Linked DNA regions of Drosophila melanogaster. The protein of the gene in region 2 interacts with the protein of the main gene of each other region in a pairwise test. Each region holds a gene or a part of one and is shown on either strand. Other genes may lie near its edges.

Region 1 (3,947 bases), 4.4 Mb from region 2:
AGTCCAATGATCGTCATTATCTGAGACATCTTCATCACCTGCGCAGTCTTGTCGCGAACACCTACTACAGTCTATACAAAGTGAAGCCATTAGAAGATAGCCTGTGCATCGTGGACAAGGAGGCCACCAGTAAGGCTCTGGGATTCCAAGTGCCTGTCTATGGCGGTTCCTACACAGAAAGGGAGTCCTTGAAACACGGTGACCTTCTCAAGCAGATTTACTGCTTGCGTCGGGAATTTAATCAACTGGAGAAGTGTCTTAACAATAGAACACCGTATTCATACGTTAAGAACAGAACGGCACCCTTGAATCTTCACATTTCACGAGGAGCACCTGTTCAGAGCCTGCAAAGCAGCATGTTTGCCTCGGAACCAATACTCATTCTGCGCCTTCGCATCCTGGACACATTTGAACTCGACCCTGTCTGGCAGTCTGCGCCAAAGTGCCAGTTGGAAAGCAAGACACTATGCTACCTGCCACCAACAGAAGACGAGGCATTCCACACCGCCCAGCAGCGCTTTTTCATTGATCTCCTGGAAGAAGTAAAGAAATTGAAGCCCGACAGCATTGTCTTCCACAAGTTCCTGTTTCTCACCCATTACGCGGCGTCGCTGCTCTTATTTCTCATAGAGAGCGTTTATCAGGATTGTTGTTTTAATAGCAATCAAGCGCAAACTCTCACGTTGAGTAAGCTAAAAGATACGGCTAACAGTGCCTTGGAACAGGTGCTGGAACTTCTTAAGGACGAGCAGGCGGGGGCCATTCACAGCCTGCTGGACATTAAGGAGCTGCAGAAGAACCAGTTCAGCAAGGCCCTCATTCAGCACAACAACAGCATTGTAATGACCTGCTTCCGTAGCATGTTGGGCGAGGAATCATTTCCCATGCCCGTAGCTCCGACATCCAACTCAGATGTCGGTTCCATCCAAGAGTCGGCAGCTGTATTTTAACATAACGAACATGTATTTCTCACTTGCATCAAATTACAGTGCTACTTTTACAAAACTAGGTACTCTGCCGGGGAAATATCTGCTTAAATGTTTTCTGAGGATAGTTTTTCATGGATCAAGAATGAAAATTAAATAACTAACAGAAAAATCACAAGACTAAGGGGTAAGGGTACACATGGGTTGTGGACTGGCCCACCTCCTCCAGCTCTACCTCCGCCTATCCGCTAGTCGGCCGGACGTTTTTCGCTGTGCTTCTTGGTGTAGTCCTCGGCGTTTTTCACGAATTTTTTGCGATCCTTAAGAAACTCCTCGGCCAACTCCGCCCGCAGCGGATGCTCCGGCTCAGGGTCGTTGATTAAGTCCACCAGTGCCTGCACGACCTGGTCGGTGCGTGTGGCCGGTTTCCAGTTCTCCGTACTGATAATGGGCAAGCACACCTGGCCCTTCTCATCGATGTTTGGATGGTAGATGCGTGTCTTAAAGTTAATCTTGGGCGGCTTGAAAGGATACTCCGCCGGAAAGTTGATCTCGATGCGGAAGGCGCCCTTGTTGTACGGCGGATTGTCCGGGACAATCAATCCCGTCCAGCGCAGCAGGTTGTCATCGTCCGCCTTAATGTCCCGGAAGGACTTCAGTGCGTTGCCCTGCAAATCGCTCAATTCTTTTCGCAGGCGTCGCGGCGCAGTCATCGTGATGTCTATGTGTGGGTTCTCTTATGCTGGTGTGTGCGTAGGTGTGTGTGGAACGGAAAGAGGAGGGGGCCACCTTGCCAATGTGTGCGTGTGCACTTTTGTTTGCCCTTGTGTGAGCTGCAAATCGATGGTTTTGTCTTCCGGATATGTAATACTCTCGTTCAGCCGCCGGTGTTTCGTTGTTGGTGAGCTCCTAGTGCTCCAGTTGCGGGGTGTCACCTTTGGTTTTCGCACTGGCCCAAAAAAATCCGCACGTAAGTCTGCGAATTTCGCTGAAAATGGTTCGTTGAAGAATCTTCCAATTAGCGTTAGGGTATTTTGCAGACTTGCTCGCAACGGCGCTGCAATTGGTATACATATACATTGGTCATGTATAACTTTGTCTTGATTTTGCAACTTGCAACGGCTGTAATATTATGTTTAATACTAAATAAATCTTTATTGGAAAGTATTTATTATAGATGTATATTTTAAGAGAGGTAACAAATGAAAATAAAAGGGTTGCTGTTTCCAAATGGATTTGTAACCGATTACCAGCAGCAGTGGCGGCAAGCCAATCGATAGGCAACCGTTTCAGGCGATTCCCATCGCTATCGCTGACTGCAACACGTGCGCCGCGTTAGTTTTGTTTTTACCTCAAAATGACCAAAAAACTAGCTCTGAAACGCAGAGGAAAGGATTCGGAACCCACAAATGAAGTGGTGGCCAGTTCCGAGGCTTCCGAAAACGAGGAGGAGGAGGAGGTAAGACCCATTGACAGTGATATAAAAAGTCATTTCAAAATGACCTGCATGTGTGTTTGTGCTCTTTAAGGACCTGCTGCAAGCTGTAAAAGATCCCGGCGAAGATTCAACAGATGACGAGGGCATAGACCAGGAATACCACTCGGATTCCAGTGAGGAACTGCAGTTCGAGAGCGATGAGGAGGGCAACTACTTGGGCAGAAAGCAATCTTCATCAGCTGAGGAAGATGAAGAAAGTAGTGATGAAGAGGATAATGAAGAGGAGGAAAGCACTGATGGAGAGGAAGTGGAAGATGAGGAGAAGGATTCCAAGTCAAAGCAAACAGACGATAAGCCCAGTGGAAGCGGTGCCGCGTCTAAAAAAGCCCTTACAGCAGAGCTCCCGAAACGGGATAGCTCGAAGCCTGAGTATCAGGATTCAGATACCTCCGACGAGGAGGACATAAGAAATACTGTAGGCAACATACCCATGCACTGGTACGACGAATACAAGCACATCGGTTACGACTGGGATGCCAAGAAGATTATTAAACCACCACAAGGAGATCAAATTGATGAGTTCCTGCGTAAGATCGAGGACCCAGACTTTTGGCGTACCGTCAAGGATCCACTTACCGGTCAGGATGTGCGCCTAACAGACGAGGACATTGCTCTGATCAAGCGCATCGTTTCGGGTCGCATACCCAACAAGGATCACGAAGAGTATGAGCCCTGGATCGAATGGTTCACATCGGAGGTGGAAAAGATGCCCATCAAGAACGTACCCGACCACAAACGCTCTTTCCTGCCCTCAGTTTCCGAGAAAAAGCGCGTCTCTCGCATGGTGCACGCCCTCAAAATGGGCTGGATGAAGACCACTGAGGAAGTGGAACGCGAGAAGCAGGCCAAGCGCGGTCCCAAGTTCTACATGCTGTGGGAAACGGACACCAGTCGGGAACACATGCGCCGCATCCACGATCCAGTCTCTGCGCCCAAACGCGACCTTCCCGGTCATGCCGAGTCCTACAATCCACCGCCAGAGTATCTTTTCGATGCCAAGGAGACCAAGGAGTGGCTTAAACTAAAGGACGAGCCACACAAGCGCAAGCTGCACTTCATGCCACAGAAGTTCAAGTCGCTGAGGGAGGTGCCCGCATACTCGAGATACCTTCGGGAGCGTTTCCTTCGTTGCCTGGATCTTTACCTGTGTCCCCGTGCAAAGCGTGTCAAGCTGAACATCGATGCCGAGTACCTTATCCCCAAGTTGCCCTCGCCGCGTGACCTGCAACCCTTTCCCACGGTGGAGAGTATGGTTTACCGTGGCCACACCGATCTGGTGCGGTCTGTTAGTGTGGAGCCCAAGGGAGAGTACCTCGTCTCCGGTTCGGATGATAAAACCGTCAAGAGTAAGTACTAATTTAATTGACAACCTTTTAGATATCTTCTTACTAATCCATCTCACCTCACAGTTTGGGAAATTGCAACAGGTCGTTGCATTCGCACAATCGAGACCGACGAAGTGGTACGCTGTGTGGCTTGGTGTCCAAATCCCAAGCTGTCTATTATTGCGGTGGCCACTGGCA
Region 2 (11,029 bases):
CAAGTTTGAACTCTGAACCAGAGGTGGGGGACTCTAGCCATTGGTTATTCCTTTTAAATGCATATGATTCCATGCTTTCAGTCCCAATTTGCTGTGGACGGAACCTGTCCAGTCGACTGCTTCAATGAGTTCCTTATCTTTCTGGGTGTAATGTGCTTCCTTAAACTCGTGGGAGCATCTAGTAAATCGACGAATCTGCTCCTAGCCCTGCGTTGCATGCCTCCAGATGAGAAGACCTTCGCCCTGGGATTGGGTTCCATGGCGGCTTCTCTGCTGGGCTTCATTCCCAGTCCGATTTTCTTCGGCTGGCTGATAGACAACTACTGTTTGGTGTGGGGCAAGACATGCTCCAACAAGGGAAACTGTTGGCTCTATGACACAAAATCAATGAGGTGCGTCATCTTATAGACTGAAATCTGAAAATTCCTAGTAATCCCATTTTCTTTTCAGATATGCTTTAAATCTTTCGGCGGCATTTTTCATATTTTTGGGCGGTTTCTTGAATATTGCAGTGTGGTATCACGCAAAGAATCTCAAAATTTTCGATGAAGAGGAGTCGTCACCCAAAGACAGTTTAAAAAACAAGGAGGTTGAAATGAAAACAATCGATTCAAACCCCGAGTAGAATTAAAATGTAATTATTTGTTAAGCTAAATAAACGAGCTTAGAGTAAAGCTTCAATTTATCAGATTATTCCATGTCATTTCAAAATTACTCGTTTCCCGGCTAAAAAATTGTACGGCCTTCAAAATGTCCGCTCCGGAGAACAGTTGTAGGCGGTGGATAAAAAAAAATTGGGTTGACGGTCCATGCAAGAAGTGCTTCGAATCCACCTGCGGACCATGCATCGATTACAGGGTATCACCGCCTGCAGCAGACTTGCCTGAGCCCCAGGCGGAGGTTGTTAAGGCGGTCATTGAACCGGATGGACCTGTGCGTCAGGAGATCAACATCCGGGCGGAGTGCAGCAAGGGACGTCCGCTTCTCGAATCCGACAAGGACAAGCTGCGATGCTGCACCATGTGCGTGGCCCAGGAGCAGAATCTGCACCCTAATCTCTGCTCAGCGCAATGCCGGCCACTCAAAACCTATTTGCATCTGAATGAGGTCTGTGGTAATTCAAGGATACAAGTTCCTTACTTAAATTTTTCTTTCACAGTGGACCAAGCGACCCCTTCCCAAGCCCACATACAAACATTCTGTTATCCTGGACAATAACACCATAGTAGGTCGGTGCTTCCCGATGAAATTCCAGCTGAGACGCACAAAAAAGAATTGCCTGGACTGCGGAAATGAACTTTACTACCGGTATCCCATCACAAACAACAGCGACCTGCTGCTGATCAAGAACTGCTGCGAAGTGGAGGTCTATCCCGCCAAGAAAGTGGAAAATATGAACAACGTGAGGGTGACCAAGATATCGGGAGTCAAGAAGTTCGCCAACAGTCTGCTGAAGGAGCATTCCGAGTGCCGGTTGTTCACCTTAGCCAGCCAACTTGCGAAGCAGAAACCACCTTTGGCGCCTGATGTTAGGATGAGTCGGATGAGCAGGAAGAGCCGGAAGAGCCGAAAGAGCCGGAAGAGCAGCAGAAAGAGTTCACTGTTCGGCAATAAAAAGGGTAAAAAATAATAGCAAAAACATCATCGAAGACTAACTAAGCACATCCAATCTGAATAACAACGAAATCAAGGAAGATAAGTTGGAATATAGCTCGTACTCAATCACTAAAAAAAATAAACTCGGCTCAAAACCCAAACTTGAAACTTGAGTGAAAGCTTATCCTTAAAACACTCAATCCAAGCTTCGTATGAGCTTCTCCAAAGCTTTAAGCACAAGACCCAAATCGTAAGCTTGCAGCCCACAGTCGAAAAGTCAGTTGAATAGTTGTATATCTAGTGTAAATTTAATTCAAATTCAGTCGCATAAGCATACATACATAGCGTAATCCTAGAATATAATTTATGATTCAGCTTACAAAGTTAATCGAGAATCGAGTGAGAATCAAAAGGAACGGGATCGGGGACGGGGAGTATCTATCTTCGTTCTTACTTAAGACTTTTGCGTTCGATTGATGTGCTGCGATTAGTTACGAGATACAGATTGCGAATACTTGATGCTGTTCACGCGGGGCTAATACAAGGTTTAAAACTTAGGGTCTAACCGATGAGCCGATCTGCTTAGGCGGTCTTTGATCTATAATTGCTTGACTTGCGGCGCTATACATTTAGAATTGTTACTGTTTCTGCATTTCATCGGGTCGTTTGGGCTAGTTTTTGGAAAACTGTTGGAACACTTGGCCACTGAAATGCGTCTGGTTTGTCAGTTAGTCAGTTGCTAGATTTAAAGTTAGTTTTATAGTTATGGTATAGCTACCGGTATCGGTATCGCTAGGGCTTTAGCTATAGATACTGTATATCGTTAACGTTCTGCGCAAGGCGTTGTATTGCAGTTACACCGATCATTTTGAGTGATTTCGAATGTCACAACTATAGTAATTATACTTCGAGTAGTCGACTATGCTCTATGCTACGTTTTCTAGTCTATATGCACTTGATTATTAGTTTAATTTAAAAATTAGCTACACGTCGTTGGGCCTACTACTAGATGGATACATGTAAATATGTGTATAATTTAATTTAAATAAGCGTCTCTATACTGTCGCGTCACGTCGACCTGTCAGCAGTCAATCAAAGAGTGTTTGTGCTAAACAAGACAGGCTGTCCGTTCTGGTGGCCCTGGAAGCTCGACGGTTGCCTATGCGTCCACTGGGAAGAAGTCTTTCAGTAGCGTGGTGCGGCGCTTTTCAGCGATGTCCATTTGATTCTCGAGATCACCCAGGTCCGTTGTCTCGGCGCGCTCTATCTTCCACGACAGATTCTCGATTTCGGCCTCCAGTTGTGCCTGCACGGAATTAATACATTATTGGGCAACCAGTTAAAGAATAGCCGAACTGCGACTCACCTGCTGGTACTCAAAGAGATTCTTTCGCGAACCGGCCTCCATGTAATAGGCGTACGGATAGGTGTACTGCAGCGTGTATCGACACTTGGCCAGCAGTGCCGCCGCGTTGAAGAGGTATTGCCAGTCGATCCAGGTGCCGCTGCCGTTCATCACCTTCGAGTTGATCCGCTGGCGCAGCCGGTCGATCGTCTGTTGCTCGAGTTTCAGAGACTTGGAGTGGTTCTCCCAGCGCTCGTAGTAGTGCAGGTACTTCTTCAGCGCCTCGCGCGCCTGCACGTGCACCGACTCGTTGGCAATGTTGGGGTTGTCCTTGTAGCGAGAGCACTCGTAGTACTCGGAGCCGTGCGTCTTCCAGTCGCCCAAGCACATCCAGCAGAAGTCGTGCTTGCAGTTGAAGCACTGCATGTGGTTGCAGCCGCCGTTCTTCTCAATGCAGATGTGACACTTGGGGCAGTCTTTGGTGTGGGCGCTGATGTAGTTTGCCGTTTCGCTGTCGTCGGCGCACTTGGTCAGCCACTTCTTGATCACCTGGCAGTCGGTGGGTGCGTGGTAGTCCATGCCGCACCGGAAGCAGAAGCCCGTGTGGCAAGCCTTGCAAATGGCACGTTTGGCGGAGATCTCCGATGATTGCACAATAATCTGGCAGTTGGGCCCGGGACAGAAGCGGAGTTCCGGGTGTGACTTGACGTAGTCCTTAAATGCAAACTGCTGGTACTTGTCCCGCATAACGGGTCGCGTGACCAGCGTCAGCACCAAGTCCTCGGGCACCCTAACATTACACATCTGGGCCATGCAGCCGATCTGCGTGGAGATTCCCTGGAAGATCTGCGTCTCGAAGTATATGGTCCAGCAGTCCTTGCAAAACGAGTGCCCACACGCCAGGCTGTAGAACTTGTCGCCCAGCTGCGAGCTGGCACAAACGGGACACATCTGGCTGCGGTACTGTGGTGTCGCCGATGCCGTCGTCTTGTACCCGCTGCTCCCCAGTCGGAGCAGTTGGGCACTGGCCGCCGCTGCACTCGTCGAAGCCGTATCCGTCACTGCCACCGATGGCGGCTTGATTCGCGCCGTCACCAGCAGTGCATTGGCGTCCTGGCGGTACTTTTCAACGACGGCCACATTGTTCCACTGGTGCTCCAGCAGCAGCACCTTGGCCAGCGAGGGTGTGATCTGCAGGATGGTGTTCAGCTTCTCCACGCGCTCGTTCAGCAGCTTCTCGATGTCCTCGACGGTTAGGCACTCGTACTCAAAGTACTCCGGGTCGGCCCGCTTCGGATCCAGACGCTCCACATCGCAGTCCTCGCCTGAAGAAGAAAAGGATATTAGTATTATAATATAATTGAACTTTATAACATTTATAAATCATAAATCTATTATGCTTTGATAGGACAGTTTCCACTTTTTCTTTTGGTTATTTAAGCTAACTGATTGTATTTTAAACCAAAATCAGACTGAAAGACAGCAAGGGTGGATTTCAAACGAACCCTGAGTTAGCAGTTGCAGTTATATACAATAGGGCACTTTTAATCCCTTATTGTACAAAACTGGTTCCAGAGTTACGAAGGTTGAGTTGAGTTTGTAAGTTAAGCAATGGCTGACTTACATTGATCGGTTGAAACCGACGAAACATTATTACTTTGGGAATATCTTCTATGTTAATCTGACATGTATGGATCAAAAGGGATTACAGTGTATGCAGCCGGTAATCATGTTTGCATTTTGTTAGTCACATTGGCTAATTCGAGAAAACAACCGCGCGACAAGGCTGCCATAGAAGTGCTCGACGTTACGATGTTACCGATATGAGGTATCCGATTGAAGGTTGAGTTAGGGGGCGTCTTGGCCAGGTCGGAACAATAAGGGACAGGTCAAGAAGCGGAGACCGAGTTGACGGAACAGCGGCACACAACAGAATGCAACTGCGTACTTGAGCACGCACCTGAGCTGGTGTTCGTGGTGTGTGTGTTAATGTGTGCTTGTGTGGGTTGTGGAGCTACGAAGAGCGTGAGCAGAGTGGCGGGCAATAATGAAGCCAGCCACAAAACACAAGCCTCGCAATCAGTCCCAACTCGCAACTACCAATTGTACTTGCCCATGCACTGAGAGAAATCAAGTCTTTAGTAATATTCTTATATTATTTTGCCCCTTTTAAATCAATATTGATTTGAGTTCATGTTATAAAACCATTTGAAAATCAAGCCCTATCACATAATTCTCTAAATTGAGGTATCAAATCATCATTAGAATTGCTTTGGGAAATGTACCAAATGTAATCATTTAGTTTGGCCTAGATTTGACATTTTAAAACTAAACATTTATCCTATTACACAGTGCAATTTTCTCGCCGTGCAGCTACGTGCGTGTGTGTTTGTTTCAAGTTCAATTCCATAATTTAAGCTTCATGGTCAGCGAAGAAGGGCGGAGATCAAATGGGGGGTGTGGGGTTTGGTCATGGAACCCAAGGCGAATGTCAAGTGCTGAATGCAAATTCCCAGGTCTTGCGGGCCTCCTTCCGAAAAGGTGAATAACCAAACCAAGAGCCCGACATGTGTGTGTGTACTTCCTCACAGATACACTCGTACCCCTAATTTGGCCACAGTTAAATCGATGGCCGATTGTTGTCAGGGGGAAGTGCCCCTCTAGATCAGGTACTAGTTTCCACTTACCTGTGTTGTAGTAGTCGTAGTCGTCGTCGTACTCCCCGTCGTTGTCCGATTCCATATCCATTTCGATGTCCGAGTCCATTCCGGCGGATTGGCGCTTAAGATTTGGGCCTCAGATTCGGGATGTTTGGTTGGGAATTCGAGTTTCTGGCGAGGACACTCACTGCTTCCGTGTGAGTGTGAGTGCGGGGTGTCTTCTCTCTTGCTCTTTTGTAACAGTTGTTGTAAGGGCGCTGGTGGTTGCTGTTGTTGTTTTCGCAGGAGGTGGATGATGGACCCAGAGAGCGGGAGGGGCGGTGGATGCGGATAATGGAAAGTGGCCGATTTAGCGCGATGCAGTGCCACCGATTCTGGTTAGGGTGATGAACTTTGCGGGGTGGCTATTCTACGGCGGGGGGCGGTCCCTTGTTTTATTTTCGTTTATCAACATGCATGTGTACACACACACACGAGCGCACTCTCGCTCTCACGCACACACACTCGCACAGCCGTTGCACTCAACTCAAGGTGTTTTTTCTACTTCGCCTGCAGTTTATTTTCATTTTTCGCTATTTATAGAACAATCTTATGCACCACTGACAATGCACTAGATGCACTGACTTTTTGCGTTTTTAAGCGAGCACAGCTTTTGCAGAGAACATTTTGTTCTTTGTCTTGTCCGAACCTATCGGGGCATATCGTTCTTCGATAGTTCGATGTTTTATTACTCTTCTTCTTTCAGTGCGACCACGAAGCAATCAAATCAAATACCAAAAATATACCAACAACATGTATTTTTTTATTATCACATTAATTCAACTTTTTCTTCGCGATTATTGATGCAAAACTATTAGTTTCAACAGAAAACTGGCAATTTGCTTTACTATTTTAGATTACAAATTTTAAAACTAAAAATTTACAAATATACTGGTAGCACTGACTCGCGACTTGTGCTAAAAGCCAAAATACCGAAATCATTTAGCACACAGGAGTGCTCAGAAACAAAACAGCTGTTCAGCTTTTGAGCGGCTTAGTTTGAATTTTGAATATGATCTAAATTACTTTTTGGTCAGCTGGGTATGTTTTTTGGATATGGAAATCGCTTTTCTTGCCCGACATCACCTAGATGCATAAATACTCCCCAAAAGAAGCAAGACCGGAGAGAAAAGCATCTGGAACAAGTTTCATTTTCTTCTCATCTCCCTCTTTTTTAATTTTCTCGGCTTTTTCGATCGCTCCGTTATCGCAGCCCACCAATAATGATTGGAAACCACATATACTTGCAAATAAAATGTCTGATTTAAGCCTAAAGGAAAGAGGATAAAGTATGATCCTCAATAAAAGTAATCATTGAACTTACGAGTTTCCAATGACAAGCGTCTTTTCGGGCTTTATTTCGCCAGACTTCATCAACTTGCCCAAAATCCGCTGATTCGGTTTGCCCAAAACGATAGGCTTGCGTTGTACAATTATCTCGATGGCAGAGGCCAGAGATCCGGCATCTGGGATCCTCTTTTTCCCAAATGGCTGGAATCCATCAATGCAAGTGGTAAGGAACAAGACTTTGGGATTTTGAAGATAGTTGCAGGCCACAAGCAACTCGTTCGCTATCATGTTGTCGTCTCTGGCCACCAAAACAGCTCCCACATCCGGATCGAGAACTAAGCTCCTGACGAAGTCGATTTTTTTCTGGTCATTTGGCTGCAGATCGTTTACCACGGAACAGAATCCGGCCTCTTTCAGATCTTTGCGGATACCGTCACCACCCAAAACGAGGATTTTCTTCTTAAACTTCCGGTCGCTAAGGTAACTCGCAATGGCACCCGACGAGCTGAAAATGTCCTGCTCCTTGACATTGAAGCCCAGGCACTTGGCCTTCTGGAACAGATCCTTGTTTGTTAGGCAGCACTCGTTGGTGGCTATGAGACATCGCTTTCCCTTTGAAATTATGGCATTGAATGCCTCTACAGAGCCCTCAATGGGGGTATTCTCCTGCCACAGCACCCCATCCGTGCTGCAAATAATGGTGTCGATCCCGGCCAGCCATTCGGCCACCTTTGCCTTCGGCAGCTTGTCCAGATGGCTTAGACTGCGCCTTAACATAATACAATTTTGATTAAATTTAGAATGTGAAATATTAAAATTTTGAGTACTTTATGACATTATTTTCAAAGATTAAAAATTTCATATTGCCATATAAGAGTATCATAAAATAGCAAGGAATACGAAAAAGTTTATTTGGCAAAAGTAAAGTGATACTATATAAAAATGTTTTCTTTCTAATAAAATCTTCGGCCACGAGATGCTGTCGAAAATACCACCCAGAGTGAAAGCGCAAAAATGCTGTGATAAGTTAGCTACACGTTCTACTAAGATTAGGATCATAATACTCTTAAAGATCTTTATAACCCCAAACGTGACTGAAATGGTTCAGAATGCTCGGTAAGTTCTTTGCAAAGGTGAGTCTACCATTTTGGGAATCATGAGAAAGACAAATGGGCAGCGTATTTGTAGCTTTTGAAGTAACGAAGGTCAAATAATGGATCCCAACGAACCAAAAGATACGCTTTAGATGGTGGAAAACGGGGTATGATAGTTGAATAGCTTATACCCTTTCCTTGCCTACCTAACTGGGCACCATGCTAGACAGAGCTGATATTATGAAAGATACGACATTCCAGACGAGATATGCCCAGAGGACCATAAACCTAAATTTAGGCATCTTTGTCTGGGAGCACAGTAATCAAGGTATATAAGTCCGTACTTTTCGGTAAATTCGGTGTAGTAAGTGATATTTCATCAGCAGCAGAGCAATTAGATATGGGTTCCTCCCAGCGGCAGTTAGTACTCCCAATCCTGCTCCTTCTGGCCTTGGCCGGAACAGCACTGTGTGGAGTACAGGAGGTGCACAACGTTCTGGAGTTGACAGGACAGGCAGCGAATAAGTTGAAGTTTTCCACGGATGTGGCTACCGAAAAGTACACTCCCCCGGAGGAGATGGATCCCCAGTACTGGTACAACATCGCCGACGAGGAGATCACCAAGAGGCTACAACTACCACAACCCAATTCCCAGAAGGCCAAGAACATTATTATGTTCCTCGGAGATGGCATGCCTCTCTCCACCGTTGCAGCTGCTCGCATCCTGAAAGGACAACGACAAGGAAACACCGGTGAGGAATCCTCCCTGAGCTTCGAGCGATTCCCCTACACGGGTTTGAGCAGGGTGAGTTGTGGTTAACTAACTGGTAACTATAAACTAGCTAAGACGAAACATTATCCCTGCAGACCTACTGCTCCAATGCCCAAGTGCCCGACTCCGCCTGCACTGCCACCGCGTATTTGTGCGGCGTAAAGACCAACATCGTCAATATCGGAGTAAGTGCAGCAGTGGAATACAATAACTGCACCGCCAGCCAGGATCCCGCGAACCGCCTGACCTCCATCGCCGAGTGGGCCCAGAATGCTGGAAAGTCCACTGGTATTGTGACCACCACCACCCTGACCCACGCCAGTCCTTCGGGAGCATATGCAAAGACAGCCAACCGCATGTGGGAATGCGACACGGATGTGACCAGCTATGGTGTGGATGCCAATTCCTGCATTGACATGGCCACCCAGCTTGTCACCCAGACGCCCGGCAAGAACTTCGAGGTCATGTTCGGCGGCGGAATGGGCAAGTTCCTCCCCAACTCCATCGTTGATTCTCACGGAAACCCTGGTGAGCGATCCGACGGAGTGAATCTGCTTTCCCGCTGGCAGGGACTCCACGATGGAGGCGTCTTGGTCACCAATCGCAATCAGCTGCTTAAACTGAACGTGTCAGCAGTGTCCAGTGTCATTGGTCTCTTCCAGTCCAAGCTAATGAACTTCCACTTGGAGGCTGATGACACCTACCAGCCAACCCTCTCCGAACTCACTGAGGTGACCATCAAGAAGCTCAGCCAGAACAAGGAACACGGATACTTTGCGTTCATTGAAGGTGGGTTTTTCACGAAATAATCTTTTTATTAAGTATTTATATTCCGAAATATTTGTAGGTGGTCTAATTGACTATGGCAACCACTACACCAAAGCTGGCTATGCTCTGGATGAGGCCCTGGAATTCGAGAAGGCCATTCAGTTGGCCCGTGACATGACGGACATCGAGGACACTTTAATTGTGGTGACCGCTGATCACGGACACGCCGTCAGCATAGCCGGCTATCCTGGCAGAGGAACACCCATCCTGGGAATCAATCAACATGACACCGACATCAACGGAGTGCAGTACTCGGTTCTGAACTATGCAGCTGGACCCAATCAGTATCTGGATGAGAACGGACAGCGCATTCCTTTGGACGATATCCTTGGCTCGGACGACGCCATCACCCCCAGCTACATTCCCAAGGATCAGGGCGTCCACTCCGGCGAGGACGTGGGCATATTCGCCTCCGGACCTCAGAGTCACCTCTTCACCGGAGTGATGCAGCAGAGCACCATTCCCCATCTGATGGCATATGCTGCGTGCATTGGAAGCGGAAAGCAGGTCTGCGACAACTAAGAAGGCAGAAAAATCTGTTTTCAATGTTCGCCAACAACTTCTTTCTGTAATAAAAATGTAGCACACATAATGAATGTGTGTATGTTTTGAATTAATTAATTAAGATACTAGAATGGGTAGTCTTGAAAAGCCCTATGGAAAACCTGGTCCATGGAAAGAGATTTTAATCAATATTGCCAATGAAGACATAGACAAAATATAACCCCAAAATATAACCTTCAGATCTTTGTAGGCTTGGGTTCAAAAATTAAACTATGGCGAGTGTTGCCATATGCTTTTGAACTGGTAGCCAGCCTATTGGCTGAATTACCCCTTATAACCATAAACCTTAATGACTTAAGGATTGTGTAAATATAAACTGAGATTTTTCGGAGACAGTTAAGCTATCTGAGAATATGGCACGAAAAGACGACAGTTAAGATAACATTTATCTTATATGAGTCTACATTTAGACGCGTGTAAAACGTTTTATGCAATCTGAACTATATCCAATATGTTGAATAATATTTTCGATAATTTCATCAACCAATTCAAAAAGAGAAATTTTGGTTTAGGGTTCTGGGGTTTCGGGCTCTAAGTTGTTGTTCTTTATAGTGTGCAACCATTTCAACAACAACTTGTTCACGCGACACGTTTCCTGTAGATTAGGCTCGTGAGAGTTGGATCATCATGGCCAATATCTTTACGAACGCAAACGTGACTAAACTAATTCAGATAGCTGGAATAAACATTTGCACAGGTGATCTCAGCACTTTAGGGATAATAAGCTCAGCCAAACGAAAGTCGAGTGATCTCATAACCCATTACTATTACAACGGGTAGTGGTTTTATAGAGGGATGGTCATGTCACTTACAGCTGATCTTCCTAGAAGTCGGGAGTACC

The links. Proteins that work in one complex are often made in the same cells at the same time.
Region 1: the proteins of ari-2 (region 2) and Ubc10 interact in a two-hybrid assay, tested with the Drosophila melanogaster proteins (2 studies listed by BioGRID).

The regions. Positions count from the first base shown.
Region 1 is NT_033778.4:17,787,464-17,791,410, forward strand, and holds Ubc10 (ubiquitin conjugating enzyme 10), read right to left. Parts: upstream 1,948-3,947; 5' UTR 1,640-1,947; coding exon 1,175-1,639; 3' UTR 951-1,174; downstream 1-950. Other genes in the region: aft (adrift), read left to right, coding at 1-950; CG5033 (uncharacterized protein), read left to right, coding at 2,284-2,385, 2,456-3,770, 3,834-3,947.
Region 2 is NT_033778.4:22,208,119-22,219,147, reverse strand, and holds ari-2 (ariadne 2), read right to left. Parts: upstream 6,314-11,029; 5' UTR 5,708-6,313; coding exon 5,629-5,707; intron 4,267-5,628; coding exon 2,963-4,266; intron 2,903-2,962; coding exon 2,756-2,902; 3' UTR 1,884-2,755; downstream 1-1,883. Other genes in the region: Oatp58Da (organic anion transporting polypeptide 58Da), read left to right, coding at 1-23, 82-392, 451-625; CG30278 (uncharacterized protein), read left to right, coding at 751-1,107, 1,160-1,630; CG11291 (uncharacterized protein), read right to left, coding at 6,727-6,910, 6,965-7,707; Alp8 (alkaline phosphatase 8), read left to right, coding at 8,425-8,829, 8,892-9,585, 9,644-10,146.